Oreochromis niloticus: one gene and its partners. The protein of the gene in region 1 interacts with the protein of each later gene in a pairwise test. Links are inferred from orthologs where the notes say so. Each region holds a gene or a part of one and is shown in the gene's direction. Other genes may lie near its edges.

The links.
Region 2: the proteins of erbb3b (region 1) and ppm1ba interact in a two-hybrid assay, tested with the Homo sapiens proteins (2 studies listed by BioGRID and IntAct, with this or other methods). The link is inferred for Oreochromis niloticus from reciprocal best matches to the Homo sapiens genes ERBB3 and PPM1B.
Region 3: the proteins of erbb3b (region 1) and hdac6 interact in a protein complementation assay, tested with the Homo sapiens proteins (2 studies listed by BioGRID and IntAct, with this or other methods). The link is inferred for Oreochromis niloticus from reciprocal best matches to the Homo sapiens genes ERBB3 and HDAC6.

The regions. Positions count from the first base shown.
Region 1 is NC_031984.2:19,603,022-19,613,795, reverse strand, and holds the start of erbb3b (receptor tyrosine-protein kinase erbB-3b), read left to right. Parts: upstream 1-6,772; 5' UTR 6,773-7,307; coding exon 7,308-7,383; intron 7,384-8,747; coding exon 8,748-8,902; intron 8,903-9,034; coding exon 9,035-9,221; intron 9,222-10,774. Other genes in the region: arf3a (ADP-ribosylation factor 3a), read left to right, coding at 584-798, 902-1,012, 1,319-1,443, 1,534-1,695. UniProt on the Homo sapiens protein: Tyrosine-protein kinase that plays an essential role as cell surface receptor for neuregulins.
Region 2 is NC_031978.2:11,093,097-11,103,703, reverse strand, and holds the start of ppm1ba (protein phosphatase 1B), read left to right. Parts: upstream 1-6,642; 5' UTR 6,643-6,788; exon of another isoform or gene 6,789-7,074; intron 7,075-7,084; exon of another isoform or gene 7,085-7,215; intron 7,216-10,607.
Region 3 is NC_031984.2:4,905,105-4,915,706, reverse strand, and holds the start of hdac6 (histone deacetylase 6), read left to right. Parts: upstream 1-6,671; 5' UTR 6,672-6,725; coding exon 6,726-6,803; intron 6,804-7,929; coding exon 7,930-8,022; intron 8,023-9,533; coding exon 9,534-9,662; intron 9,663-10,200; coding exon 10,201-10,286; intron 10,287-10,602. Other genes in the region: cxxc1a (CXXC-type zinc finger protein 1a), read left to right, coding at 981-1,157, 1,238-1,339, 1,410-1,627, 2,593-2,800, 2,892-3,002, 3,478-3,527, 3,609-3,705, 4,471-4,623 and 1 more.

The DNA.
Region 1 (10,774 bases):
TTAAAATAACCCTCTAAAAACCAATGCGACCCGTGTAGTGTGTGTTAGCACAAGTTAACAGGCAAGGTTGGCCTGTAAAGGGCCCATTACCACTGAAGGGCCACCCTCCTCCCTCAGCTCTGTGAGCCTGACTGTGTGCAGCCATAGACAGCCTTAGGTTATGTGTCATAATAACGTAATATGAAATGAGTGTTACCCTGGCATATCTTCAGTTGCCTAAAAAGAGCATAAAAAGGTGGTTACTCAGCACCACATGAAAGCTGAGCCACATAACAGAGATCCAGCATGGCTGCCTCTTTTCCCAGTGAGCTGTCACTGTAAAGGAGCAGCTTTCGAGTCAGGTCAGCTGCCTGCCGGGGTGTGAAGTATACGTTTCCTGGCTTTCCTCTGAGGGGGCACGGCTGCGAGCCGTAAGGGAGGTGCCAATGCTGAGAGGTGCTTTTGAACAGCTACTGTCACACCACATGTTTCTTTGTGTGTGTGTGTGTGTGTGTGTGTGTGTGTGTGTGTGTGTGTGCATGTGTGGTTTCGACTCTCTAAACGTGGTTCACGGTTTGTTTTGGCTGCTTGTTGCTATGTATAGCAACAAAGCAGCCCGTGTAACAGTTTTGTTGCAGTTGTGCCCCCACCTCCTCTCCTCCCGAGTCATCATGGGAAACATCTTTGGGAACCTGTTGAAGAGCCTGATAGGCAAGAAGGAGATGAGGATTCTCATGGTGGGGCTGGACGCTGCAGGGAAAACCACCATCCTGTACAAGTTGAAGCTGGGGGAGATCGTCACTACCATCCCCACAATTGGTGTGTGACTGTCTGCCTCTAAATAAAAAAAAACCCTGCGTCTTAGAGATTGTCCAGATTATGTGACCCATTTTCTATTTGCTTGTTGTCCCATCCACCCCAGGTTTCAATGTAGAGACAGTGGAATACAAGAACATCAGCTTCACTGTGTGGGACGTGGGTGGCCAGGACAAGATCCGTCCTCTTTGGAGACACTACTTCCAGAACACCCAGGGTGAGATGCATCAAAAGCATCTTAGGTGAAAGACCAGCCGGCATGGTTAGAGTTTTTTTTTTTAAAAAGGCCTCTCCAGTCCTGTTGCAGATCCTGGAGCACACGCTCGCCCCCAGCACCTGAGGACAAAATCTGACTAATCCTTCAGATGATGTCATTTGCATACAGGCTCCAGCTGTTTCAAATTATCATCATCTTAGTCATGTTCAAATCCCGGACAACCATTAAACATGCTTTGGCAATATGCTTTTCTAACAATGTGATGTGACCTGATTGTTTTTGTTCGGTTTAAACTTATTCCTGCAGGTTTGATCTTTGTGGTGGACAGCAATGACCGCGAGCGGGTCAACGAAGCTCGAGAGGAGCTGATGCGGATGCTGGCTGAAGACGAGCTGAGGGATGCTGTTCTTCTAGTCTTTGCCAACAAACAGGTATGCGCCACATTACGTTTCCCCCTGCTTTTACGCCTCTTGCCTCACCAACTTCCTGACGGACACTTTGTCCTCTGTGATTTTGTTCAGGACCTGCCCAATGCCATGAACGCCGCAGAGATCACAGACAAGCTGGGCCTGCACTCCTTACGTCACCGCAACTGGTACATTCAAGCCACCTGTGCCACCAGTGGGGACGGCCTGTACGAGGGTCTGGACTGGCTGGCCAATCAGCTGAAGAACAAAAAGTGAAGGGCCGGGTCAGTAAAGTGGGGAAGAGCCTGGGTGCCAGCTCCAGGTTGTGGTTATAGGGGTTCCATTGTGTTTACATAGAGAGGAAAAATGCTGAAAAGCTCCCAGGGGGTGACTCTCAGTGGCTTTCTCCCCTCCCACCATCTCCTCCCCACCATCCACCCTCGAAATACTTCTTTATTTTTTTTCCGTTCTTTGATTAATTTGATTTGTTTGAATCTGTGGTGAGCATTTTTAATCATTTACAAGCAAACTTTATCTAAGTTTTTTACAATCTATAAACAAATAATTATGTACTGTATAATATTACTGTAAAGGTATATGGATTTGCTCTACTTTGCAGACCTCCACCAACATTTAATTAGCTCAGCAATTGTGATGGATCTCAAATCGTGATGGCAGAGCAGCCTTCCCTCAGAAACTACAGACCTGGTGTAAATTACAAAGAATGTCATAATATTATAGTGGGAGTACTATTACTATTATACTCGTACAGATAAATGTAATATAACTGTCCATACTGCAACCAAATTATGCTCTTCATAGATCAAAACTTTTAGCTATGATTTAGTTTTATTTATGCTGAATTAAACAAAATGTGTCAACTTTCTGGACAGTCTGAAACAATATATTTAATATTAATATTTATTGACTTTTTTTTTTTGCGTCATATAGTTTCTTTCCCTTTATTCTAATGTGCATTTACTGCTAAAGGCAGCTAGTTAAAAAAAAGAAAAAGACAAGAAACCCCAGTATCACTGTACATTACTGCTTCCCAATCTGCATGGAGATATCCCAGTACTGGCTCGTGGGCTTGTAACAGGCCGCTGCTGTAAATAAAGATTTGTTCTAGTTGAGTTGCCTGGCACAAACGGGGTTAAAACAGTTTGTCTGGCATCAGCGAGGTGTGATATCTAAAGTGATACAGATGACAGAACAGGCACTCTGTACCAGCTCTGTGGCTCAGAAAAATAAAATGCTGCTATTGGCCTGCCCTGTGGAGAGTGATGCAGCACAGCATGTGACTGGCAATATTAAGAGAGCTTACATAGTTTTAAATTTTTGTTTTTATTTTTCAATCCGTTTGTGCAGCATCGCTTCTCATGCGGATTTATCCACCCTTAACTGGCATGACATTATGCGTGTCTCGCTATTTCATGTTGCACAAAATTACTCTAGACTCACTGTTGTTGTACAGAAGGTGTTGTCTGTTTTTTTTAAATGGGGTGTTTCTTTATTTTGTTGAGTTATTTTTTCCTTAATTAGCTAATTAGGTCAGACTGTTGCATTTTTTTTGTTTTGGGGTTTTTTGGGGGGGAGTTTGTTCACAAAAAAAATAATAAAATAAGGAGAGAGGATGATAGTAATACTGCATCGTAAGGCATGTTAATACTGTACAAGATCTGTAATAAAAGCGAATTATAATAGCCTGTTTCCTCAGACTATATTTGTTAGTCTTAATCATTGCTGCTGGTTGGAACAATGCTGTACTAATAAATGTTATGGATTTAGTGTAAAGTTTACCGAACAACCTTCTAATATGCAAAAGCATGCTTTTCTATGTTGGCGCAACTGTATATATGTTGATGTAACCGGGAAAGTGGAACCGTGGTTTTCGGGGTGAAACCAAAAGCGCTGTTGATACACCTGTAGATAATGGGGTCAGCGTGTTGGCAGATAACTGACAGCAGCTTGTGTGTGCGTGTGTGACGTGCATTATATTCCGTTCGGTTTGGTGTGAAAATTGTTTTCGTGGCCTTATTTAGCCAGTGGTTTCATTTCTCTTTGATAACAGGTTTATATGTAAGAAATATCCAGCATTCAAGTATCTCACCTATGATCTGTGACACCGATGCACTAGCAGTTCCGATGTGGCTAAACATCCCTCCCTCTTTCAGTGACTATTTTCAGATTTTAACTTTCAAATAAAGAAAAATATTAAATGAGGCTGCACGACATTCCAGCTGGCGATTTGCTCTCAGAGAGAAACAGAGTATAATATGAAGAGGGGGAAATTTAAGACAGAAAATCAGAAAAACCTAAGCAGGTGCAAAAGTGTTGAATGATTTAATTATTCCTGAGACTACATCAATAAATAAAAAGACCAGAGTATACATTTGCTTTGCCTTGCTCATTTTTTTCCTTGCTATCGTTTATCGTCGCACGTGTTGGTTTGAAAACCCCAGCACGATTACGAGCGTGCTGTCTTTATCTTCTCTTGTCTGTGGCTCAAACTCAATTTCAAGTTGACAGTTCGCCCCAGAATCAAATGTGCGAGTCATTATTTGTCAATCATTGTTCTTGGATAAGTTGCCCAGTTTTGAAGATGTTTGTCTGCTTGAATAAAAGGAAGCTACAGAGTATACTTGTGGTGCTCAAAGCACCAAAACACTATGTTTGATGTGGGTGGTGAGTGCAGTGTGGTAGAACGAAGGCAGTTCTCACACAAACTACTGTATTTGATTTGGAGGTGATGTGTCCTTTTAAGATCCCTGCTAGGTTTCTTGAAACAGTTTGGTCCTCAATTTGTTGGACAGAGACACTGTTTTTGTAGTTTTGCTTCTGTACAGTCATTTTTGAGTCAAAGGACAAATTAAACACACAATGTCTGAGGTTGATTCAAAGTGTAGAATTTTTATTTTATAGTTTTTATTGTTATTTTTAAAACATGAGGCTCATAAGAGATGTCATTTCAAGTGAGGGAGACAAGTTAGCTTGAAAAACCCAAATAAATAAGAGCAATAATGAAATAATTAGGAATGGCTGAAGCAACATTCTTAAGAAGTATAAATGCAGTGATCAAGTCAGCAGCTCCCAACAGGCCTGGAAGACCAGCGAAGACAAATGGAGTGCATGATGACAGAATTATTTCCATGGTTAAGAAAAACGGCTTCACAGCATCTAACCAGATCAAGACCACACTTTAAGAGCAGGCGTGTGTGCATGTCAGTCACATCATGACTGTTTGATTTAAAATCTGCTGTGGCGGTGTACAGAGGCAACACTACAAAAACTCTGTCTTTGCACAACACATTATTGACCTTACTGTACTTCTCCTTCATTGATGAATCCATAATAAACAGTAAAATATTTAAAAACTCTTAACTGTTGCCTCAACACATATATGTTCAATTGATTTCATGTGTGCACCGGAGGTTTTAAGTTGCGGCCACATCTGGCCTCCAAACTGGTTGTGATGTCACAATATCCTCTTATGCCTACACATGTTGAACTTTGATTTAAGGTGAGTCCAGAAGGACGTTCTTTTCAGCAGATTAATAGGAAACAGCTTTGACGTCCCTTATGACGCATGTATCACTCTGCACAATAAAGGTCAAAAATCTAAATGTGAGTTAGACTGGGTTTTTTTTAATGAAGTGGGAGTTGATCGAGAACAGTTTTAACTCAGTAAACTGTTTACCGTACCAGTCATCAGCTAAGACTAAAATCAGACTAACAGCACATATTACACAACTGTGGGATTTGGCTCTACACAGCCTTTCTTTTGTCCTTTATTAACTGCTGTTATCAAGAGAAGTTTGGCACAATCAGGTAGTTTGCCTGTGGAATTGCTGCACTTCACAGAGAGTCATTTTGTCTGAGCCAATCAGAGGTCCATGTAGGGGAGAGTGCTGCTGTGTCTCCAAGGGTGTGACAGCAGTATGTGAGTCGGAGCTGCTCCCGGGGCCACCAGCCCCCTTGGCCCCCTGCAGGACCGCTACAATAGTGGCCCCAGGGCGGATGCCATAGCTGGGATTCCCACTCGTAACCGGGACACCTTCGCCCAGGGCACAGACACACTGGCAGCAGCCCCACAATCAATTCATCAATCTCTGAAGGGAGTGGCAACTCCAAAAGGCCACAGCAGGCACCCCTCACAGTTCCCCTTGGAAGGGACAGGGCCACCAGGGCTGACACAGAGACTTGACACCATGGTGGCGTTGTGAAAGTGCCAAGCTCTGTAAATACTATAGGCTGCTATCAAAGCTATCTTGACGGGACAAACAGAGAAACTCTCATGTGAAAAATGAACACACGCACAAAAAAAGTGCATCTGGTGACAATCTTACACTTTTCACCGTTTTACTCAGCAACAGGAAAGTTTCACACTGACTGCTGTTTATGAAACAAAACAACTGACTCAGTCTTCAAGATTTCTTCCAACATTTTTGGGGCAATGGTGTTTTTTTCCCCACAAAGTTTTCCACTATTCAGTGACTGACTGGATTAAAGGCTGATTATTTTATTATAAGAAATTAGAGATTGGATCAAATGTCCAATAAACAGTGTAAAAATAGCCATCCATGTGCAAACGCTGAGTCTACCCACCACAGGGCCCTGCAGCAGCTGTGAAATAGGACGCCTAAGTGTCAGACTCTGGCTCCTCCTGCTGGACAGAAAAAGAGGCTGGAGTAGGGCATTTGAGACTCCTGCTTTAAAGTCCAGGCAGATGAACAACAAAGACATTAATTACTGTACACATAAACCGCGCTGTGGTGTTATTTCTTGGCGTCTTTTACCATCAGGTTGTTGAGACGAACATTAAAATCCAAGTTCATCTCAATCTCACCATTCTTCCCATTTCCTGCACATGGATGCTTGCAAACAAACTGTGGATTGTTCGGCTCTCCCCTCCCTGCCGCATTCAAAAATAAGATTAACAGTACATCTGTCAGAAGCGGTTAATGATTTCCATCCATTAGTGGCCCGTTTTCACCCGCAGCTCCGTGTTCAGGAATCTTGTCTGCTCCGAGGCCATTTTCTCAAATTAAGCATGTTCTTGTTTTGGGTTCAGAAGTCACTTGACTGTCTGACAATGTGGCCATTGTGGCAGGCTGCTCCATACGCATCAAAGAGGTGATTAACCAGTTGACAGGGCTGCGGGGACAATACTGCTCTTTACGGGGGGAAACAGTGCGGCCACTCAGAGCGCTGGGCTCTTACTGGGTGGGGGGACCGAAACGCTGCTTCCACTGCTGACAGCATGAAACAAAAATAACTGGTGTTCACACTGCTGCACACGGCAAAGATTCACATCCAAAATCAGTTAAATGCTACACTGAACGACCTGTCCTTGTTAGTCAACCGAGTCTGTCTCAGTGACTCGTGTGTCATTTAGCTTTTTTGTTATTATAGTGTTTTAGCCACGCGTGTTTGTAATTTTTTAAGCTTTCTGTCAGCAGTATTATGTCAGTCGTTTCTCGAGGGCTTCATAAATTTAGCAAAATTCTTTGCTTTAGCGTAACAACCGAGGCTTCAGCTCGAAATGACGGACAAACCACTGATTGGTCGGGATATCGGCCAATCACACGTCCCCATCTGGGAGGGAAATTCCCTCATCACAATAAACTACAACTTGTTCTCAGTTTTTCAAGTAGTCTGAGGGATGTTTGCGGTCTTATTAGGTGTTTTGAAGGAGTTGCACTTGTCCTTCACTTTGACTCATGATTTGATCGGATTTTCCCTTTCATAGAGACTTAACTCTTAACTTTTACACCCCCTACTGTATATTCTTTAGTCAAAGTTTTCCCTGCAATACATATTGGCTCTTCGGAGGACTACCTAAACCCCTGTGATATGCATAGATCTCCGTGAACAGGCTGGACATCAGCATGGAGCAGTGGCGAGTCATTTTACTGGGAGTGATTTTGTCTTGGAGACTTCGAACATCATCTCAAACGCATGAAGGTGAGGATATACGTGATTCTACATCTGAAATCCTGTCTTCATTAAGTTTGAATCTCGTGAAATTTAGATAATACCTCAATTACCAGACAAATTCTAGCAATAGAATAGAATTAACTGTATGCACTTAAAGCTTTCGTAGTATAAAGTGATAAACCTCACCATGCCATTGTTTGCTTCACAGCTCACCACTCTTCCTTAAAAGCTTTTTTATTGTTATGATTAGGGTCTTATCCAGGCCCTTGCACTGCACTGTAAAAATCTGCAGAGAACAGCAAAGATTCACTTTAAGAACCTCTATTTACCATTAACTGATTGTCACGCTGTCACTAAATTCTTTCTAATAAAATTTAATGTGGTTATCTGCAGTTACAACGACATTAATGTGTCTTTGCTAACATTCAGATCTCCCTTTGAGATAGCTGTCAAACAATCACACTGTTTTTCTTTCCTGTCAGGACCTTTTGTTTATTTACTAATTTCCGATCACTGAGCCCTTTCATGAATGTTTTATGAATGTTTTTATAAATACAAAACATTAACAAATAATTTAAGTACTAATGCCTGTTTTTGAGTATCCTAAGTATGAGTTGAATATTATTGAGTCCTCCCAGATTAGCTGAATGATTCAGGGCCAGTGTTTGCTTAAAAGAGCCATGTATGAATATAAGTGTGCATTAGGCAACAGTCCTTTGTCAGCATGTAACTTTCCATTGTTATTATGCAGCAGTCTTCAGGGGCCTATAGCTGTGTGTTATGTGTTCATAACGAAGACAAGAGATGTGACTTGTGTTGAGTGAGTGCTGCAGGTGGCTAACGTTTGCACATTAAAGGACCAGTTCCTCAGTTTTCTTGCTGGGCACTCAGAGATGGTGTGTATGTCACCTTCCGTTCACGATATTTCCCTTCCCTCTGCCAGAGAGTCCCATTCACACACGGCCCATTGTCTTTTGGTATGATCTCAGCAATGCGTGGCTTGCAGACGCACATGCACACGCATACACAGAAGCACTGTCTGTCACTGCAGCACTCATCACTCACTGAGACACACTGTCCACATTTATAGCTTTACAACAATGAAGCACTTTGTCTGAGGGGGAAAAAAAAGAAAAAAAAAGTCACTCTCTCTTCTGACCCCCCTGGCCTCCTCTTCATCAGCCCCAGGCCTGTACTGCTCCATGTAAGCGGGTAACAGCCTGCCTGTTTCTCTCTGCTTCACATCAAAATCTGTAGCCAGCACAGGCATGAACACAGCATCAGGGAGAGTCACCAACCCTATAAATACCACAGACACAACACAGCCCACAGTACTCAGTTTCCCAGTGTTATTTACGTTCATTTTCATCTTTATTCCCTATCTGTGTTAGAAGTGTGTCCAGGGACGCAGAATGGACTCAGTTCCACGGGCTCTCAGGAGAACCAGTACAATCTGATTAGAAACCGGTATTATGGCTGTGAGATTGTAATGGGAAACCTGGAGATCACACAGATTGAGAGTAACTGGGACTTCTCCTTCCTCAAGGTAAATGTCATGTTTCCTTACTCTCCAGGCCTCCAGTCGGTAAATTTGAAAAAAAGCGTTAAAAAGTGGAGAGTATATTGTAGAAGTAGCCTCTTATATTGCCTCTTATATTAATGGTCTTCTTCACTCTAGAGAATCCGTGAGGTGACTGGCTATGTCCTCATTGCTATGAACCACTTTCAAGAGATTCCTCTGGGCCAACTGCGCGTCATCAGAGGAAACAGCCTGTATGAAAGACGTTTTGCTCTATCGATCTTCCTCAACTACCCCAAGGACGGCTCCAACGGCCTACAACAGCTGGGACTCGCAAACCTGACGGGTTAGAAGAACAACAGAAAAACAGATATTAGAGAAAGAAAACGTTCAATGTTTGTTCTGTAAAAGAAAATGCTTTCTGAAACCCAAGGCGTTTGTAACAGTGGGGAGTGGTGCATTACATAAAATGGAGCAATTAAACTCAACATCTCAGATCAAGCCTGGTCCTACTGGAAGTCCCTGCCATCAAATACAGCTGTGGTCAGAAGTTTACATTGTTAAGGTTCATTGTTGAGAGAGGAATCCATAAATAACCACAGATCCGGTCCAGTGTGCAATTAGACAGTATTTTAATAAACACATGTGTGAGTTCAACAACCCAATCAGTATTGAACTGTCTTTACCATATTCAGACAACAGTTTTATAGGGTTAAGATAGTACAGCCCCCTTTTCTGTTGGTAGGCAGATTTAATACAGCATACGTCAGCCTAAACCACAAAATGTTCCGTGAACTTTAACATAGTTTAAAGTACATTGTCTTCGGGTCGGTGCTTCCCCTCAGCTCGTCTTCGCTGTCGCTTATCTCCTGGGACATCTGTTGCACTTCCTCTAAGTACGTCGGCACAATTCTGCATTTGCAGCAAAAATACATCTTCACTTCTGCCCTACCAAAATAGATCTATTATGGTGTGTATGTGTGCACGTGCGGGGGCGCGTGCGTGCTGTGTACTGTGTACGTGTCATGACCTCTCACTATTTGTGTCTGTATGTGTGTCTCGCCCTTAAATGCTCTCACATCTCACCCGTTACACTTCTGACCTTCACGTGACCAGGAGCCACAGCTCTTTAATATGCTCAAATGCAATCATGTATAAAAGATTAAAATCATTTTCATAACACAGGCTTCTCCTTCTCAGCTCTGCCAATATGTTTGCTCGTCTCTATTACAGTTTGATCATTGAAAATTACACTGATCAGCATACTATGTGGAAGCTACAGATTACATAATGGCAAAAGCATTTTGTCGGACCCCTCATTCCCCCTTTTGACCTCTGGCTGACCAGAGGTCACCATACTTTCAGGTGCATCACTCCTTGTCCCATTCAGCTGCTTCCCTGTCCACCCCTGACGTCGTGGACTTTAGGATCACTGACCCTCTCTTGGCATCCTGTGACTTAGCAAACCAGACAACCCCATGTCATCTAGGTGGTCTTAATAATAAAATGCCCGCTCCCACTTGAGAACACTCATGCTTGAGGTTAATCACACCAAAGTATCAGTGAGCCTAAAGTTGATCAGGGGCAGGAGAGAATAAGAGTGCGAGCAGAGCTCAATCAGCACTCCTCCCTCACCCCTGAACCCAATCATACCCGGTGAGAGACCCCTTACACTTGTGAATCTCTAGTGGTCTGTCCCTTTTCTGGGTCCTTCTCTTGTGGAAATCTTCTCCTGTAAAGGATAGAAAACACCTTCTCCCTACTACGGCTCTAACTTACTCTGTTCCTCAAGTGCTCTCTTTATTCAAACTTGATTCAACCTAATATTACACAAAACATGAACCTAATTTCGTATTTGGTTTTTGACTTTTATTCCTATATAATCTTAAACATCACTCA
Region 2 (10,607 bases), on another chromosome or scaffold:
TGGTGGCCTTCTTCCTGCCTGCTCAGGGAGAAGATTGTCCTTGCTTTGTTAAATGATTTCTTCCAGCTGAACTCTTCCCCCAATATCAGTCAAAAAGAGATCACACAGAGAAAACGAAGATTGCATGTATACCCAGAGTTCCCCGGGTCACCTTGGCATACAGCTCACGCAGTAAATCAATCCATTTATTGCCATTTCAATAACCATTCAGGTTATTTTTGTCACTAGATGCCGTTCACTGTCCAAGTTACAGTCAGAAACTCACAAAGTATTCTTTATATTTTCCCAGATGTGCACATTTTATAACTGTAGTGAACTGTAAAAATGAGCTGGTTTGGAAGCCAGTTCATTTCAGTTGATCTAATCAACACAAATACAGATGTAATTTAAAAATGACTCACTTGTGTCAGGAAAAAATACATTTTAATGCTGCCCATAAATATTTTGGTGGGCAGGATGATGTGCAGACATACCCTAGAGTAAGTTTCTTTAATTCATGCCCACCTGCCTCTCCTGGTATTTAGCACAAGAAACTGATTGAGCATTCAACCTTTTAGAAGATTTTGAGACCATCAATTTTATATCACAACCCAAACGTGCCGTTTCGACCCCTTCGTGCATGTATTCGCTAGCCGTACCTCTTTTTCCCACTAGATGGAGGTGTGATACTTCCATAACACTCTTTCATCCATGACCCAGCACAGAAAGTAAACTCACCCAGAGGTCTAATTTACAAACTCAGGTCAACCTCTGTAGAGTTAAATACTGAAGATTCTGTATTGTGAGGATCTGTAGGTCAGTATAGTTTGATGTTTGCAGGTTTCCGCTTCAGTTCCAGACTGGCAGGTTAAACCTGTGCAGGGTAGTAAATCTGTGGCTTAATGTTCCTGTAGAACAAGCTTTTGATTTGCCACTGAGCATGGTGTTAATGCCATTTCACTTTGCTATAGCTGCTCAGTCTTTAACACATGAAATCTCCCAGGTCATAAATTAAAATATTCAAAATCAACTGGAGAAAGACACAGGGACCATGTTTTCCACAACAGAGTAAATTGAACACTTAAATATGAACCTATTTACATATTACAAATGTATAGGGATACTGGGGTATGAAATGCATGAATTTTAGACATTTAACCTATGGAAAAAATACAATGTAACTAAATAAATAAATAACTGAACAAGCTCTCTTGTGTCTTGCACAAAAAACACATAAGGACACGTGGTATGAGTACTTCATATGAGAATAAATATATTACAAGACATAAAAAACTCCTAGCCTACTATTTTTTTTCTATAGGTGCAACAGTCCAGTACTGCTTATACGTTTACCAACTTTTATCATGCTGACATTTAACTAAGCTGTTCCCTTTCTTTCTTTCTATCTTTCTTAAAGAAGGCTGATTCAAATGATTAATGGCAACATATGGCTGCAGCACATGCCCTCTAACACTACTATACAAGCTATGAATGGACATGTTCCTGTGATACACTAAAACCTGTGGGTGTGTCCAAGCATGTGTCTGCTACTGGACGTTATCGGCATGTGATCAAAATAGTTTCTGTGTGTATCTTTCCCGTGCATGTGTGAGATACTTTCACAGTATGACATATGCTTGAAAAACACATATGTCAGCAAGTGCTGGGCATGCTTGCGAATGACATATGAACACTGTTTTCACTACACGGGCATGCGTGTGTGAATTTATACATCGAGGTTAAGCCTGTGTGTGGTAGTAGTAATCCGCACCGGGCAGCTGCGCTCGTTCGTATTCAGCCCCAAGGCACTTCTAGGCCTACTTCCTGATTAGGGATCAGAGAGAGAGAAAGAGAGGACAGAGTGAAATGGTATAGAGCGGGAATGAGAGACAAAGAGAAAGAAAAAGGTCCTCTCTCATTTAGTAAAGAGTTTGTTAATGTCTATAATCCCATTAAGCAGGGGGAACAGCTTGACCCCTCACATAACATGCATTAATATGTATGGGCGAGTGTGTGGTTGCAGTGTATATTCTTTTTCTCTCACACAAACAAACCCAGACACTTGATACAGTGCATCCAGGAAAAGAAATTGATTGCCCTTATAAACATTTGATAAGGCCCTAATGTAACATTGCAAGCTGTTAAGGAGAACTGGAGCGGAGAGTCATGAAAATGACATGTAAATCAAATGAGCGTTGTATATTTTCAGGCACAATTTGCCAGCAATTATTGTTTTGACCTGGCTCCTCGGTTGACAAAAGAAACCTGTTCCCTCTGAGGAGCAGGAAATCAGCTTTTCAAGTGCTCTTGTGTTTGAAGAGTGGTGAGCAAGGCAAGGCGTGATTGCTGCACTCTGCAGAGAGGATCGCACATGGGGTGATTTCATACAAGGTGAGAGAAAGCAGTGAAGGCCAAAGCTAGTTGTTTTCTTTTCCTTCACAATATACATGCAAGCAGCACTTAACTCAATGTTATCTCAGCTAACTCGCACTGAATCGATCCATGCTGAAAAAATATGATAAAGAAGATTCAGTATTAAAAAAAGAAAAGAAGACCCTCCAGCTTGTGGCCTCCTTCAACCTAAACCCCCGATGGATGGATGGATGGATGGATGGATGGAAGGATGATATGTGCAAAATATAACCTGAATTCCAATATTTTGGGTTGCTGTGTAAAATCTAAATAAAAAACAACATACAATAATTTGCGAACCTCAAATGTTATTCACAATAGAATCGTATCACAATAGAAAAAGTATCAAATGTTTAAGCTGAGAAAATGTACCATTCTAAGAAAGACATTAACTCATTTTGAATTTGGTAGTAACATGTCTCAAAAAAGTTGGGGCAAGACTATGTTTACTACTGTGTAGCCGTGGTAAACATGGGCTTCTGTTAACAGCAGACTGTAAACATCTGGGAACTGAAAGGAGAGGAATGTTGTCCCATTCTGGTCTCATAAGGGACTAGTAGTCATGAGTCTTCTTCATCATATTTTTATTGTATTCATACTATCATGATGCATTAAATGTTTTTAATCGATGAAAAGTCTGAACTGTCTGCAGGCCAATTCAGGACCTGGATTGCAGAATTGGGGGTGGGGGCTTTTTAAGTGAGCACTAATAAAAAGCCAGATGGTTCCTGTCCTCTTTAGTCTGGAGGATGTGTCCATGTTTTCCAAAAAAGAATTTAAATTTTGATTTGTCTGACCACAGAACACTTTTCCATTGTGCCTCAGAACATTTGAATGCCCCTTGATCTGGAGAAAATGCCAGGATTGCAGGATCATGGTCACCCATGGCTTCTTCTTTGCTTGATAGATGGCAAGACGAACTGCATTCAATGACCTTGATTGGAGGAAGTGTTACTGAGCCCATGCTGTGATTTCCATGCTTGTTCTTAATGCAGTGCTGCCTGACTGCCTGAAGAACATGAACATCTAATATTGATTTTTGGTCTTGTCCCTTTTATATTGAGGGACATTATTCAGAAATTCTCCAGAAATGTATACACTCAGTTTTTTGCAGACTTGTTACCCTCTGACCATCTTTACTTCTGAGAAATTCTGCCTCTTTGTGATGCTCTTTTTTGAGATATCCAATTTTAAAAAACAGATATTACTGGTATTACTTGTGATTACTTACATGTGTTCCCACTTAACGTAAATAGTTGCGAAATGTTTCTTCTTCAGTTCCTCCACTTAGTTTTCCAGCATTTTTTTCCAGCCACCTCCTGCCCTCATCCCAACTTTTTTGAGATTTGTTGCTTCCATCAAATTCAAAACATGCCAATGTTTTCCATGAAATCAAAAAAGTATATCAGTTTAAACATTTGATGTGCTTTATGTGTTCTACTGTGAATAAAATGTGGAGTTATGAGATTTGAAAATCACTAAATTTTGTTTTTATTGACATTTTACATGTCATTCCAGGCTTTTTTGGAATTGGGTTTGTATTTACATATAAGCAGCTGGATAGCTAACAGCTTATGCACTGTACAATGCACTGTATAATAGATGTGATATAACACAAGATTTGCCAATAAGGCTGCAAATCCAAACTGAACTGTAAAATTTTCTGGTTAAAACTAATTAATTGACTTTATTATTTTTACGCAACCAGAATGAAATGAAATGAAATAACAAGCTTAAACACATTAAATAATGCAGAATCAAGAAAACATTAAATAATAATAATAAAATTACTCCATTTGGATTGTGTTGAAAAAAATTGCTACAAATCTTATGAACAATTATTTCACATAATAAACAGACCTCTTATCACTCTCGGATAGATTAAGGTCCTGTTTACGCACAAATTTTCTTTAACTAATTTGTTTTATAAGATAAGATTACATTGTTTGGAAACATGTTGTTTGTCTTCTTTTTTTGTGGAAGACTAGTGATGGTATACCTATTCTGAGTTTATAAGTAACACAGTACAGAGTACCTTAAAGAAAAACCAGCTTTCCTTACATGCATATTTTAAACTTGCTCTAAAATTTTGCATAAACTACAGGAAAAACTTTTGCTGCCAGTGGGAAATCTCTGACATACACACTAAATTGTCATATATATTATTGATGGGATACTTTAAGTGTTCCCAATAACTTAGAAATGCACAGAGAGACAGAAAGGCACCAACGTGATGACGTCATGTTGAGCACAGTATATACTGCGAAAGAGAGGAAGGAGTGTTTATGTTTTCATTTGAAAATGAATGTTAAATTCACCTCCACATTAAATAAGAACAAACTAATTTAATTGCAGGTCATCATAAAAGCACCACTGCCTCAACAATATCTTCTAAGAGCAACTCAGCAATTTATTTAAATTAATAAGACCCTCCACAGCCACCATGCCTGTTTGGGCTCATAGAGCTGGGCCCAATGGGCTGAGGCTCGTCAGCAAGCACGCCCTAAAACACATCCGCCCATCACAGGCACGGTAAACTAGTCGCTTGAATCACTGGGCGTGATAATGGATGCAATTTTGTTTCAACAAATAAAGTTCAACTTATTATTTAATTAGGCTGAAAGTTAACCTTCACTCTGTATTATCGCCAATGCATATAGATCAATATTATAGCATATTAACATATATTAACAACTTTCACTCTATCATGCTATCATGTAGTTACCTGTGGTCTTACATTTATTTTAGTTGAAGAGAAGCTTCATATGTGAATATGGTTATTTACACAGTATGTAAATAAAGTGGTTACACTTTACGTTGGGGCAACATCTACAAAGTGACAGTCATTTGTTTATGACTGATTCATTTACAAATATTTTATAGATGAATTATAAGTAATTACTCTGTGTTAGTCCTGCCACGGTCCAAGGTGTACCCTGTATGACAACAGGATTAGGCTCCAGCCCCATCCTGCAACCCTGAATTGGATACGCAGAATAACATGGGTGGCTCTAAGTAAGTAGTAACAGCTTTTTGGTTGCCATATTGTAGAAATTCCTCCTCTATCATGACACTTTGCTCACTGTTTGTTATTGGGAAATAAACTTTACTTACTTAAGCAAATAATATATTATAATGTCTATGATTATATCTAGCTTATTAATATTAATAACCATGGCTTGATGAATTGATTGCCTTTAATGTTTTCAGAACATTAGGTCTGGAGGTAACTAATGTTTGCTTATGGAAATTTCTTACTAATATTTACTTAATGGCTTGGAGGAATCGTCAATCTGAAGACTGATAATTTTTTACATGGAAGATAACTGGAAGATAGTTTTTACAACTTAGCAACCCAAAAAGTTGCTGTGATATTAATTTGCAGTGGATTTAAAAAACTTTCACTATGTGATCCATAGCACAGTGGGTAACAAATGACTGAATTTACTACTTAGAATGTAAATTTCCATAGTCTAGGTAACCATTTTGCCTCACACATTTGAGTTATGGTTCTAAAAGACAACCTTCAGTCCATTTCTTCCTAGATTTCCTCAAGGTGCAATTACCAATGTCTCACTTGGCCACAATATTAAAGCCACATGTCTAATGCCGTAAAGATGTCCTGTATGTTGCCAAAAGAGTTTGGATCAGTTAGTGTATGGACTCCAGATCCCATGGGTGTTCTGTTTGGCAACTGGATGTTTAGATCCTTTAGTTCTTGTGCATGGTGAGGAGAAGCCTCCATAGACTTGCAATCTTGGTAGTTTGTATGCAGGTCAGAACCTAGTGCTTTTTGCAGGGCGGTGTTGTGCACTGTCCTGCTAGGGGTGGGCACAGCCTTTGGGGAGTGCCATGTGTTGCTTGACCTGTGGCTGTGATTAGGTAACTGGTAACACTGATACTTTCCACAGCTCTGTAAGTCCCATCAATATTGTAACTAAAGGATTAATTCTCTTTACTCCATTTGTCCCCATTTGGCAATGGAACTGGCAACAACTAAATGGGGTGTTGCACTGTTTTTATTAATTACTTCCCAACTGTGCTATTTATGGCACGCAGGCACCTCTCTTCTGAAAACAGCATATGAACGGAGGAGAAATTATAAATCACATAATCTCACCAAAGGCAAATAAAAGAAAACAGCTGGATTTTCACAGTTTATGTTTTTAGAGAAACAAATTGACTGGTACATTAGTTGACCAATCGTATCTCAGCTTCGAATCAGTTTTTATCCAATCACAGAAGAGAGCGATAGTCTTGCCCCTCCCAAAAACTGGATGCTGAAAAAGAACGTCATCTACCTTTTTACATTTAGCTTTAGCAAAAATTAGCTAGGTGTTCAATTATAGATAAATCCTGCCGAACCAAGCGTATTTTCTTTTGAACCGACAGCCTAAGTAAGAGCGATATATTTGGCGCTCCCTGGTTTTACAGTGCCAAACATGTATGTAAAAGCCTTACGTCGATGCAGAGACATGTTGAAAGGAGAACTGGTCGTGTGAAACGCTGGCTAGCTTACTCAAAGCTAACTGACGAACAGGGGCCGAGAAGCGAAAGTGGCTAATATTAAGGACTGCTAAGCCTATCACAACAAGGCTGGGTGTCTTAGCATATCTACCGTGATCACGAGAAGAGGGGCTGATAGAGGGAGAGTGAGAGTGAGAGAGATTCCTTTCATACGCAGTAAGTAACACTTGGTACTCGGAATGAGCAACGAATCTACACTGGCTAGCGACCCGCTAACGTGTAACGTTAGACAAACACTTTGACAACTGTGAACTTCGCTAGCTGGTTAGCTAGCAGTGTAAGTGGCCTCTGTTTTAGGTAAAGAGAATCGAGAATTGGCTTGATTTTACTTCAGGATCTCAAAGTACTGTTATTTATATGTATTTATTGGGACAGAGAGTACGATGTTGTCGTTGACGCCGGTGTAGCTACACTTACTAACACGCCCGAGCTCCATTCAGGTGATTTTCACATTAATTGTAGCGTTTCACGCACTTGTCAATATTCAAATGGGTTATCAGCGTCACGCTGCTGGCGGATTAATGATTATCCATGGGTCTATCCATGTGATCCGAGAAGGTTTGGTTTGTCTTTATTTGCTTATGGCATGTGTCGACAGTTTTTCTCCAGTAAATTTATTTTTAATCTGATTCATGAGTATTTGCAACAGGTGCGAGTTACGTGGAACTGGTTTTAATGTGTAGCTTATTCTGGTTGCTGATTAGCATAAAGCTAGCTTTTGTTTTAGACGTATTGTTTACTAACAATTAGTTAGTAAAGTAGAGTCTAGCTTTATTTTAAGCTCGTCCATGTTTTCGATTCCCATTTGCTCCTATGAAGCTCCAGTACAGGGATTAACTTGTTTTATTGCCTTGTTGTGGGTACTTTTATTGGGTTGTTGGTGTGTGTGGCAGTGTGTTTGTGTGACGGTGTATTCCAGAAATGGCAGCAGCATCAGTGGCATGTTTGTGTTGGCACCTTGATGTGAACTCCTGCAATAGCCATGCTCTTTTAGCCTATGACTGCACTGGGTGCATGGGCTTGTCCGAAGGCCTTTATCTATACCCATGTGGTTGTCTTAGTGTGAACTGAAAGGGTTCACACGCAGATGTAGTGGCAAGCCTTGAATAGCTGACAGATTAATTTGTGTTTGTGCTTATGTCTCAGAACAGGGTGATAGTATTGTTTAAGATTCTTGAATCAGCTTGTGGGGTTATGTAAATGCTGTGCACGTGCTTTTATAATGTATCCCAAAGGAACTGAAAGTGGTTTTAGTGCATGCTTAAATACTCGTTTATACTTGTTTATAGTCCCTCATCATTTCGCCACTTCTGAGAGTTGAGAAATGATGAGAAAACAGAGGTACATATATATACCGTGCAATGCAAAAGTATTTGCTCCCTTTCTGATTTCTTAATTTTTTTTAACCCATTTTTCACATTTACATGTTTCAGATCATGAGACAAATTTTAATATTAGCCAAAGCTAACCTGAGGAAATATATTACTTTTAAAATAAATTATTATGTTTTTTTGTTTTTTTTTAAAAACTAACAAAACATACCTGGCATACCTGGTGGAAAAAATAAGTGATTATAAGGTAACTGTGATTAACCAATTTTTTTTTTTGGGAAAGCTGAGTTCAATTTCAAATAGCCACACCTAGGCCTGATTACTGCCAGACCTGTTGAATCAAGAAACCACTTAAATAGAACCTGTCTGACAAAGTGAAGTAGGCTAAAAGAGCTCAAAAGGCAACACATCATGGTACGATCTAAAGAAACTCAATAAACAGCAGAAAAACAAACTCACTGGCATCTGTCAGTCTGGAAAGTGCTTCAAAGCCCTTTCTAAAACTTTGGGAACCTAGCAGCCATTATCCACAAATGGAGAAAACTTTAAACAGTGGTGAAGATTCCCAGTGGCTTTCGACCAAAATTACTCCAAGTGCACATCAGTGTCTCATCAAGGTCGTCACAAAATAACCCAGAACAGAATTGCAGCTCACTTTACTCACTCTGTAAAGTCAGAGATCATGATTCAACAATAAGAAAACGACTTCTGGGGTTGTTTGTTGCTTCAGGATGTGGACAATGATCCAAAACACACCAGCAAGTCCACCTCTGAACGTCTCAAAAAACCCAGAGAAAATATAGGTTTTGATGTCGCCTAGCTAAAGCCCAGACTTGAATCCCTCTGGTGTTGCTGAATTAAAACAATTCTGCAAAGAAGAGTGGGACAAAATTCCTCCACAGCAAAAGCCTCATTGCCAGTTATTGGTGCCAATGCTGGCACAACCAGCTAATAGGTTTAGGGGGCAATTACTTTCACACATAGAAAGGGTCAGGTAGGTCTCAGTATTTTTTTTTCCCTTAATAAATAGAATCATCATTGTATTTAACCGGGTTATCTTTGTCTGATATTATAAGTTTGATGATCTGAAACGTGTGAGACAAAAATGCAAAAATAAGAAATCAGGAAGAGGGGGGGGCAAACACTTTTTCACAGCACAGTATATTGCAGAGAAACCACTTGCAGTCCAGTATGACATGACACATGTACTTTCAACCTCTTTGGTCTGGACTGACATCCCCATCATCTGTTCAAAGAACACTTGTTCTGGGAAATTGACAGCTTCAAAGATGAGTCATCAAAGAGAGGGGGATCTGTGTGTTCCAGTTGTCAAATTTGTTTAAAAAAAAAAAGTCAAGGTTGAGGTAAAGTTGTTTTTTCTTTTTAATCATAACTGAGAACAGTGTGTTATACCAGCTGTTCACTGCCTTCTTTATAAAATCATTAAATGTGGATGTGGCTAATGGGTACTAGCAAAAAGATGATTCATATAAGCACATTAGTAGAAACTGAGCATTTACATGTCTGTATGTTGTGGATTTTCTCTTCAGAGATGGACTCAATTGTAGACTTAAACTATAACAGTCACAGCTCAGTTTTTTTTTTAATATTGACTAGCTATATGTGTCTTATAATTTGTTTTTGGTATTGTGATCTAAGGAGGTCATAGCTTTCTTGAAGTTACCCACTGATTAGTGAAGTTAAATTATGATGCCTCAAGCTTCAACTATTTGCCATTGCCATCTTGATATTTTGGTAAATCTGACAGTGACAAACATTTAACAACTTATCAGTCACAAATTGTTGGCATACCCTGAATAATCTTCCTTTCCAAACATGAACATAATTTGCAAAAGTTCAATTCATGATGCCCTGGAACTACTGTCAGTCTTCAGATCTCAGATCTCATTGTACAACCGTATAGTTACGATAAAGGCATTCTATTCTATTCTATTCTATTCTATTCTATTCTATTAGAATGGATTTTACTTAGTTCATACAACATATAGCAAATTTCTCCAGGTAGAGGATAGGAATTTAAATCTGAACACAAATAAAATTAAAAAGAAAAGTGAATACTTTGGGAAAGAAATATGGCCAATGGTTACTTTTGAGGTGGTAATGCAGCCATGTCAGTTCAGAAGATTAATTCAGCAGCACTAAGGTGTTTCCTTTATTGAGTTAGCTTTGAAGTTGATGACTTCCATGCTCCCCCTAAATATGTTGCATTACAGTATAGTTGTTGGGTTAAGTTTTTGTTTCCTAACTCCACTACTTTAGTTGTGTCCATCGAAAGACAGGATGCAGCAGTGGGATATTGTCATGTGCTAATATCCCATTCAGGCTTTTACTTTTTAC
Region 3 (10,602 bases), about 15 Mb from region 1:
AGCACCAAGGCTGTGTTATAATTTCCCACAAAACTGTAAAAAAACAGTAAGGCATTCTCTGATGGAGAGTTGATCAAAGACTGTTTAATGTTTTAAATGGCACAAACTACATGATTATATAATTATTTAAAATTTGAATCCTAATTTCCCTTTGTTGGCACACGTGGCTGCTGGTCCATACGATGCCCAGATCTGATCTGGGAGCAGATCTCTACACTTGGCACTCATCTGAATCCCTCTGGGGATTTATTTGAACAGTTCTCTTGAAGAATTATATAAATTAACTTTAATTTCAAAGTAACCTGGATCTTTTTAAAAAAAAAAAAGCTTCTATAAAATCATTATTCAAACCTGATTCGAAAGAAACGGCTAAAAGTTTTTGGACTTTGACCCTGAAATGCATACTTCTCCCACCATCTTTGCTGTTACTCAGTTCTCCTATAGTTTTCAGATTCTTTAAGTAAAGCATTAAAGTGCTTTGATTGGTCAGTAAGACGAAAAGAGTTACATATTGACATCAGTGTAAAATGTATCGATTATAACTGCGAGGTTAAAGTTCTGGATCTTTGTCTCTGGTTACCGTAGCGATGGGGCTTTTTGGACTGGGGGCTGGTTGGTTCCTGCTCCATACTTTTTTTTTTTTTTTTTTTTTTTTTAGATGTTTCTCACGTGACATCATGCATATAATGCTTGTGAGTGGTCCAACATGTTGGACTGGATACAAGCACTGATAGCAAAGGAAAAATGTGTATTCCTGGACTGGTTGGCAAGTGATTCCTGGGCTTTGAGTAGTCAGTAAGATTAGAAAATACTTTATAAATACAGGTATATATGAAAGAAAGGCATAATGGGTCACCTTTAACAAGGGATTCAAATTGATGGTGAACTGCTAACTCGTCCTGATTGTTAAAGATTGGCGAGAGATGTTCATTATTGCTGTACTAATGATGCTGTTTACTCTGCATATGTTCTCTGAGCAGAAGATGCTTCGGGTCAAGGATGAGGAGATGAGTCGCAGCGGGGCCAGGGGGCGGAGCCTGTCGAGAAAAGGGCCAGGGCATCACACTGAGGAGGAGGAAGATGACGAGGAGGAGGGTTTCAGTGAGAGCGAGCTGGAGCTGTACGAGCAATACAAAGCTGCCGGATACAGAGACCTGGTCAGTGTGTGCAGGTGTTTCCAACCAATCAGCTGCCAGACAGGCACTTCCTGTGTGCGTGACACATCTTCGTGTTGCAGGTGTGGCACAGTGAAGAGGATGATGCTCAGTCCGACTCTCTGAGGAAGAAGGCGGTGAAGGTGAAACACGTGAAGAGACACGAGAAGAAACCAGAGAAGAAGGTGAGGGCGGTTAGATCACCTGACCACAGATGTCACTGATGATGTCACTAACATACCTGTCCACCTGCAGAAGTCCGTGTCTGTTCCGAAAGAGGAGGTGAAGCCTCGACGCCACAAAGTGAAGCAGCGTCACAGAGAGCGTGTGCGGCACAGTGAGCGAGCAGGAGAGGGTGGAGTCAAAGAAGTAAGCGGAGGTTTGAGGCAGTGTCTGGGTCCAGGATGCATCGAGCCGGCGAGGGCCAACTCCAAATACTGCTCTGAGGAGTGCGGCATGAAGCTCGCCGCCAAGTGAGTCTGAGATCATCTAAATGTTCATGTGAACACAACACGGGCTGACACGGCGACCCCGCCAGAGAATTTTAGAACTGCTGAATTTAGAAAGTTTGTATCAAGATTCCTTTTAGACACAAGTTATAACGGCGAAGTCACTTACCGTATCTAATTGGACCGTTGAGTCCATTAAACCTTTTTACACGTGAAAAAAGAAGTGCATACTATTTGCTCCAAACACAATGTTGCAGGTTATTTCTGAAATACAAAACTCCTTTGGTCATCTTTCCAGAGGTGAAACATGTTCATTGCTGTCATTGATTGTTTTTTTTCTGTTCAGTCACTTTGCTGTGCAGCAGCTCTGAGAAGGTGAGAGGACTTGCCTAATGTGAATTTGACTGGCTTCCCATTCTTCTCACACAATTCCAAACAGCATCCAGCTCAGCTGCTTAGCATAGATCGGACTATTTAAGAGCATGTTTTGCTCACCGCTTTGGTTTTGGTGGTGATATCATCACATATACCGCTGCAGTAAACGATAGGTGTTGCCACTCAGAGAAAACCTCTGCATCATCACTGATGAAGAGGAGAAGTTGAACCAAAAGGGAAGAAACTGCCAAGATTTTTTTCTCCAAGGTTTTCTCCAGAGTCTCATGAAGCTGTTGCAGCATCTCCTCGCTGTATAATCTGATACTCTGTGCTTCTGCACTGAGGTAAAAAAGATTGGCGGTAAAAACCACCAAAATTGTGCATGACCGCCCGAGATGATAGCAAAATATGATTTGTGCCAGCACTTCTAGTGCCGTGAATTAGGTGCCGTGTACACCCTATTACTGTGTACTCTGGGGTTTCACCCAGGACCTCAAACTTATGCAGAAAGCAAACATCAAATTCTCTGTTAACTTGGTGTACATTGGTTTCTCAAAAACAGTACATGTTTCTGAAATCTGTTGGTTCTTTGACGCCTCGTCTCTGTCTCTCAGTCGCATCTATGAGATCCTGCCTCAGAGGATCCAGCAGTGGCAGCAGAGTCCCTGCATTGCCGAGGAGATTGGACGCAGACAGCTGGAGCGGATCAGGAAAGAGCAGCAGGCGGCGAGGATGCGTCTCACGATGATGGAGAAACGCTTCCATGAGCTAGAAGGCATCATCGCCAACGCCAAACTTCAGCAAGTCCAGCAGCACGAGGAGGTATGTGGCAACCGCAGCCACCCAGTGCACTCCGCTGTTAGTGTGATCAGCTGTTAGTTGGTCTCATCTGCGTCTCTGTTTGTCTCTGCAGGTGACTGAGGGTGACGGTGACGACACAGACTTTCAGATCTTCTGTGTTTCCTGCAGTCACCCCGTCAATCCAAAGGTGGCTCTGCGTCATATGGAGCGATGCTACGCTAAGGTTAGCTTAAAGAAACAGGAAGTGTGTCCACCTGGGGTCTGAACTGGTTATGAATTACAACTGCCTTAATGAGGTGATCAAACAGGAAGGTACTAACAGCAATGTGGCAACAAAGGCCACAATAAGCCAGTGAAATGACCTTTAGCAAATTCACCCAATGCTGCTGTTCAAATCTTCTGTTTAAAAGAGCTACTCTTCTGGAGTTTAATAATAAATGAGGATAATAAGTTCTCCCTAAAAGATTATTGATGTAACCTAGCACCCCTGAGGTCCTCCTGATTTAACAACATTGGTCTGAGTCTGCACATTAAGTCAGAATATTAGCAGGCATATGGTGGTTATGGCACAACAACTAGTTTTACATCCCCTAACATGACAGTCAGCTGTTCTGAGGTAAAATGTGGGTAATGTAGTCATCAACTTGATTTAAAAGGAAGACTGTTTAATCTGATCTTTCTGTTTCTTTGTCCGACAGTATGAGAGTCAAACATCGTTTGGTTCCATGTATCCAACACGCATAGAGGGGTAAGACCGTGCATCTGTCCGTCCCTCCTGTCTTTACCCGTCTCTCTGTTTGTGTCTCATCTCTCTCTCTGTGTCTCTCAGAGCCACCAGGTTATTCTGCGATGTCTACAATCCTCAAAGTAAGACGTACTGTAAGCGGCTGCAGGTTTTATGTCCTGAACACTCCAGAGATCCAAAGGTTTGTTTATGTCTACAGAAAACAACTTATGACTCGATCAAGGCTTTAATTCGCTGCTTTTTTCCTCGCTTGCTTAAACTCAATGGAGAACTTTTTATTTTTATTTTAGCAAATGTCTGTCGGGCTCTAAAATATTATGTTGGTGTGCTCTTACAAAACTTATCAGCTGTGGATATTTAAAAAATGTTTCTGTTCACGTTAACTTACTGTCTCAAGTCTTTAAAGGACTTAACATCAGAATTTGGATGATACATAAGTTTTAATGTGGCATGTGGTCCTGAGTCTGGACTCAGAGTCCGGAGAAGGGTACAAAGTCAGGACTAGCTGGTCCTGGACTCTGGTCCTGACTTTGGGCTCAGAGACTCAGAGTCAGGCAGTCAGGCCTGACTGTTTCCAGACTCTGGAGTCTTTGGTCCTGACTCTGGAAACAGTCAGGCAGAGTCTGGATCTGACTCTGGACTAGCTGATCCTGACTGGATCGTTGGTCCTGACTGGACTAGCTGGTCCTAACTCTGGGCTAGGTGGTCCTGACTCTTGTTCTGGCTCTGGACTGGCTGGTTCTGATTCTGAACTGGCTGATCCTGACTCTTGCTCTGAGTGCAGGATCAGCTAGTCCTGACTCTTGTTCTGACTCTGGACTCACCGGTCCTGACTACGCTAGCTGATCCTGACTCTGGACTAGCTGATCCCGAGTCTGGTCCTGGCTCTGGACTCAAAGTCAGGCAGACATTTTCCTGACTCTTTGTTATTGACTCCCTGTTGCAGGTCCCAGCAGACGAGGTGTGCGGATGTCCTCTGGTCAAAGACGTGTTTGAGCCCACCGGCGAGTTCTGTCGGGTGTCTAAGAGGAAGTGCAACAAGCATTACTGCTGGGAGAAACTTCGCCGCGCCGAAGTCGACCTGGAGAGAGTCCGAGTGGTATCTCTATTCATACAAACTTTATTTAGTGCCTCGTCATTAACATTAAGACACACCTGGATGTTTCTAACTCTCTCTTTGTCTCTGTCAGTGGTATAAACTGGACGAGCTGTTCGAGCAGGAGAGGAATCTGAGGACCGCCATGACCAACCGAGCCGGTTTATTGGCTCTGATGTTGCACCAGACCATCCAGCATGACCCAATCACCACCGACCTGCGCTCTGCCAAGGACAGGTAGACAGGTGACGTCAGGCAGACGTTTTCCTGGATGAGTTTAATGCTCGTTTGCAATTTTATTGTGGAAATTTGTGGGAAGGTGAGTCAGAGCAACGTTTCATTCACCAGTGAACAAAAAACAAGAGAGATTTGATTCTGACTCCAGCCTCATTCAAACTCAGACCTCATCTGATTTTAGGAAGTCAAACCGTTTTTATATTTCATATTCACACTACTAATGTAGGAAACCTGAGCTCTTACAATCCATGGATGAACACTCAAATAAACCTTCTGCTTAGGTAACACTGCAATGTCTGCTGGATCTCAGCTTAGCTTTGTGGGCAGTTGTATCCTCACTGTTAGTTTTAATAAGTTGGGGATGACTGGACACACAAATATGATCACATTTGATCCTGAATGAGCCATAATGTCTAAAGAGGTGCTCATGTGTCCTCCTCCTACTGGAAAGCTGCTCTCATTCAGTTTAACCTACAAGTATTACACTACCCACATCCGACCAATCTGAAATGTGACTGTGCTTTGGAAATGTCTTAAGGTTGATGATGAAACACTACATGTTCACTAAAGATGCACACATTTTATAAATCTCGAAGTCATCTTGTTACAAGTCATTCCTCCTTGTTTCTTTTTACAATGTGAGCCTGTTGCAGTTTAAATAAAAATTGTGTAAATATCAGTTTAAACTTTCCCCCATGGGATCATCAAAAAAAAGTAAGCATAGAAGAAAAAAAAATGCTAGCCATAAAAAGATGGATTCTGTGACTTGATTGACTCTTGCTTCAGTCTAAGTGAATAAACAGTCAATGGGGTAAGCATAGGGAAATTACTTTTAAGCACAAAGAGCTGAAGTCAAGTGAAATTAATTAAATAAATAAATAAAATGAAATGTCCTGATAAAGAACTCTTGTTTGTATATTGATGAAAGTCAAACTTTTCTGTGTGACATTAATTTCCCTCTGAGAGGAAACCCTTCATTTCGATCTCAGTGTCTCCTTTTTTATATCTGTTTTTATCCTCAGTGTTATCAGTATGTTGTTATTTGTTAAAAATGTTTCAATAAAGTTTGATATCTCATTATTTGTGCTGATTCTGAGCTTTTCTGTTCTTCGAGTGAATGCCAGTGCTGCACCAATTTACTTTAAACTGCACCACAACAATAAACTGGCTACCCAACATGCTTTTTTTAATAGACCAGTAAAATTTCATACATGCAACATAAAGCAGAGAATTCATGAGAAAGATATGAAATCTAGAATTGATTGTAATTAAATTCAGTTTTATTTTATTTTATGTTATTAGGCAGAAGGAAAAAAAACTATACATCATTGTCATTTTTAGTGTGAATAAACGGCCATAGTATAATATTAGGAAAGACATAGTATTATTATTAAAATTAAACAGCAAAAAGGAAAAAAAAATTGTAAAACAACAGAACAAAAACCCAACCATAATAATACAACCTACATTTTGAAGACGCTATTTGTTTTAAGCACATATGACTCTATAAAGATTAAGAGAAAAGCTCGCGACATCGATCTCTAACGTTTTTTAGTTTTAAATTATTAAAAAAGTCCCGGCGCGCGCCACACCCCTGGCTACGCTGCTCGGTGACGTCAAACGCCTCCGACGGTAGCGGTGTACGGTTGGCGCTCAGCGGCTCGGAAACAAACAGTACACTTCCTGGTCGTCCCGGTTCCGGAGGCTGCAGCGGGTCTTCAGACGGATTTTGACCTGGTTTCAGGGTGTGGATGTTTTCGGCTGACTGTGAGTCCCAGTTTATCCGCTCAGTCTGGGTGTTTCATACTAAGAACAAGCTAGCAGGAGGCTAACAGTCTCTGCTGCTTCACTATTTACACCGAGAGAGGATGACCCCGGTCCCGGTCCTGGCCACGATCATGATCTTAGAAAAAGCATTTATGCATCAACGTGAAACTGAGCTGAAGGTGTGACAGATATATTAAAATATATTAAATAATTAAAATAATTAAATAATAATTAAATAATTCTAAACAAATATGAAAAACAAGAAACATAGTTCAGTTCAACTATATATGCATCCATAACTTACAGTAGTAGTCATTTTTTTAAGGTCAACAATAATAACAGAGAGAAACCAATGAATGAATTGATCAGGACTTGGCGACAGTAGGAAGAAGAAAAGCTACTCTGAAATCAGAAGATACCACTGCGCAGGCTGAAGGGATGAGAAGAGCTTAGAGAGACAAAAACCTGCATAAACAGAAGCAGACTGGTATCTTTTTCAAAGAATGTCTAGGAAGACATTCTTTGAAAATAACACAATCACTCCTGGAGAAGGAGATGATGCTTGAGGAATGGAGAAGAAGTGTACTGGTACAGATTTTCTAGAGCAAGGGTGATGTGCAGAGCTGAGTAACTACAGATAGATAAAGTTGATGAGTGTGAGAATAAAGATATGGGAAAGAGCTGTTGAAGTTAGGTTAAGGAGCAGCAGTATGGATCATGCTGAGAAAGAGCTTGGCAGATGTGATGTTTGCTTTGAGAGTGTTGATAGAGAAGTATAGAGAAAATCAGAAGGAGCTTCACTGTGTCTTCGTGGATCTAGAGAAAGTTTATTACATGGTACCCAGAGAGGAAGTCAGGAGTAGTGGGGAAGCATGTGAGGGTGGCGTGACAGTGATGGGTTCAAGGTGAGAGTGGGATTACATCAGGGATCAGCTCTGAGCCCCTTCTTGTTTGCAATTATGGTGAAAACAGTTTTAAGTAATCAGAAAAGTGGCCGGCTTATAAAGCTGGTCTCCTGAGTTCCCAGATGTTTACAGAGTGTAGTTTAAAAAAAAAAAAAAAAAAAAAAAAGGTGACGAAACTCTTCAGTCTCAAATTCAAAGTGAGCAGAGAGATTTAAGTAAACAAAAAGTCTTCTCAGTTTCAGCATACTTGGTTCTGTGCTATTTGAGGTTAATTAAAGGATTTAATTAGTTTGGATTCTCATTCACACATTACACAGTCGTGACTCCTCTGTAACGAGGCTTGTTGTGGCTCGCAGGTGTGAAGGTTCTTCTTCATGTGTCTTTGTTATTTTTGATTCAGGTCGATCTGCGTGGATCAGTGATGCAGTCGGGGTCAGATCCTCCAGGACATGGACCGAAGCCAGTTAGAAGATCTCCTCGTCTGTCCCCTCAGGTCAGTCATCCGACACAGTGATACACCTGGTTTTAACCTTCACCTCCTTTTAAACCTTTTTGCCGCTCAGCCATAAAAGGCTGACGGGGTGTTGTCATCACCCTGCCAGGTGGACGCACAATGTGGATACTCAAGTTTGTGAATGCGATAACTCGAGAATGAAGGAGCTTCAAATTGATGCCATGTGTATATCTACAAAAAATCTCAGACAAGTTTGAATCTTTGTGACCTCGACCACATAGTCAAGGTCAGAGGTCAAGTTTACTCAAAATCCTATGGACGCGATAACTTGAAAACAAGGTGACATACAGTAGGATTTTGTAATTGATGCCGTAGGTGCATCTACTAGGAGGCTGAGAGGTAGCATTGGTTGCTACCATTATTCATTTTCAATATTAGATTAGTCATTTACTCTGCAGTCACTCTTTGCGGATTCCTAGTTAGCAAAAAGTGATCAACATGCCGTATGCCGCATGTCTGAGAGCGGCCAGCCTGGGTTCAAATCCAACCTGCCCTTTGCAGCACGTCTCCCCCTCTCTTTTTCCCTCTGCTTTCCTGTTAGTCTTCACTGTATCTGCCCAATAAAGCCAGAAAAAGGTAGAAAAATATATATTAAAAAAAAAAAAAAGTAATCTACAACAAAGTAAGCAAACTTTATAGTTTGATCAGTATGGCCTTTAGTATGTAGATCGGGGGTTGTATTAAAAGTGTGAAGGTTTGTTAGTTGCAGCTTTAACTTGACTGGGTTATTTTAGTGACTTAAATGAGTGAGTTTGGATCTATTCATGTCTAACACCTATACTGTTTTCTCTGTCTGTGGCAGATATTATAAAATGTTCTCATGTCAGTGACTGATTTTCAGTCATTTTAATGCAGAAAGGATTTTAAAAAATGTATGAACAAAATTGCATTTATTGAGACAATCCTCATCTGTCACTCCTCATAAAACACATTTTATTTGTTTCAATAATGCTAAAATGAAGAGAAAGAATAATATTGTAACAGTTACAGTCAGTAGATTAGACAGGCGACCCTCCTTTCTCCATACGGAGCTAGAAATGAGTAGTATAGTTCCTCTTTAGGGTTAAAGTGATAAGCTCGATTTAACTCGTTTTTATCAGTGTTACTATTTATAATGTGTTAAAGTTTACAGGTTGGCTTTAGCTGAGTTCGAATTATTGACGAGTAAAAGTGGGCGAGGCAATCATTCATTTATCTGAGGTGAACTTTTATCTCAGATTGTCGTGCCTCTCCTTCGATTCTGCACTCAGTTTCATGTGAACACCTGAGTGTTTGGATCTGTTGTCAGTCTGCTTTCGTAACACCAGACAGAAACAGCCGACCCTTTTATTTTCTTCTTCTTCAGCTTTTCCTCTTTTAGTTATTTGAACTCTTCTTCTTCTGTTTCTTTGCGTCACGTTGGAGCGCTTGTGATTTAACCCTACAGCGTATCAATTTGCTTCAGTCGCAGCAGAGAGGTGGGCTTCAGCTGCTCCTGTTTATGTTTGCAGGTCGGCAGCAGTGAGGGAACACAGGAGAGCAAAGGAGGAAACAGCCTGCAGGAGCTGAAGAGGAGAGGAAGGATGGAGAGGACCAGAGAGGAGCAAGAAGAGGAGCTGAGTGGCAAATTGAAGACACTGGTGAGATTTGCACTCTGTTTAATATTTGAAAAGGTTAGCATGCACCTTGGATCTGCAGTGTTTGGAACAGAGGTGAGATCTCTGTGCTGGATCCTCAGGCCATCTCTGACCTTTCCACCAGTGTCAGTTACACCTGTGAAGGTGTTTTAAGGTTTTAAACCAAACCCTAAAGATGGACATAATAAAGTAGAGATAAGTAATGAAATAATATAAGCCTCCAGAAGCTCTTATGAGGAGACAGAACGGTGTTCCCAGCCCAGCTGAGAGACTTCATGTCATGTCCTGGGTCTGCTCTGGTTCCATCAGAAACTGTGAGAGACAAAGTGTTTGTTTGGTGTGACCTGCTGTGAGACTGTCAGGTGGTAATAGGTGGGGGTGAATAGGACTGTCTCTGCAAGTCATAAGCTAGATGTATACCTGACATGGGCACTTTTGCATCCTGAAACAGCACATTATCATATTTGATCAAAAATGAAGTTTTATTTGTTTATTTTTTCTGTGTGTGTGTGTGTGTGTGTGTGTGTGTGTGTGTGTGTAGGATCTGTCCAGCAGATCGGCAGCCAGTGGAACGGGTCTCGTTTACTCTGAGATCTTCACCCACCATAAGAATGAGTGGGACCCGAGGTACCCAACACCTCAGACGGGGGCTGTGCAGTTAAATCAGATTTTAATTACAGTTACATTTTTGAATGACATTGATCAGTAAAAGACAATAATTGAGTTTAAACGATTATTGTTTTATATTTTGTTTCGGTTCCTTTCAAAATTCAGTCCACACCAGGCTTCAGCATGTTCAGTTCGATTTTTGTTGTTTTTGATTTGTTTTGTTTTTTTTCCAGTGAAATATTCGTTCATGTTTACAGATACATTGTTGAAACTGAAGCTGTCAATAAGTGACTTAAGTTTAATAAGTAATAATTGTGATTTCTGCTGTAGTCTG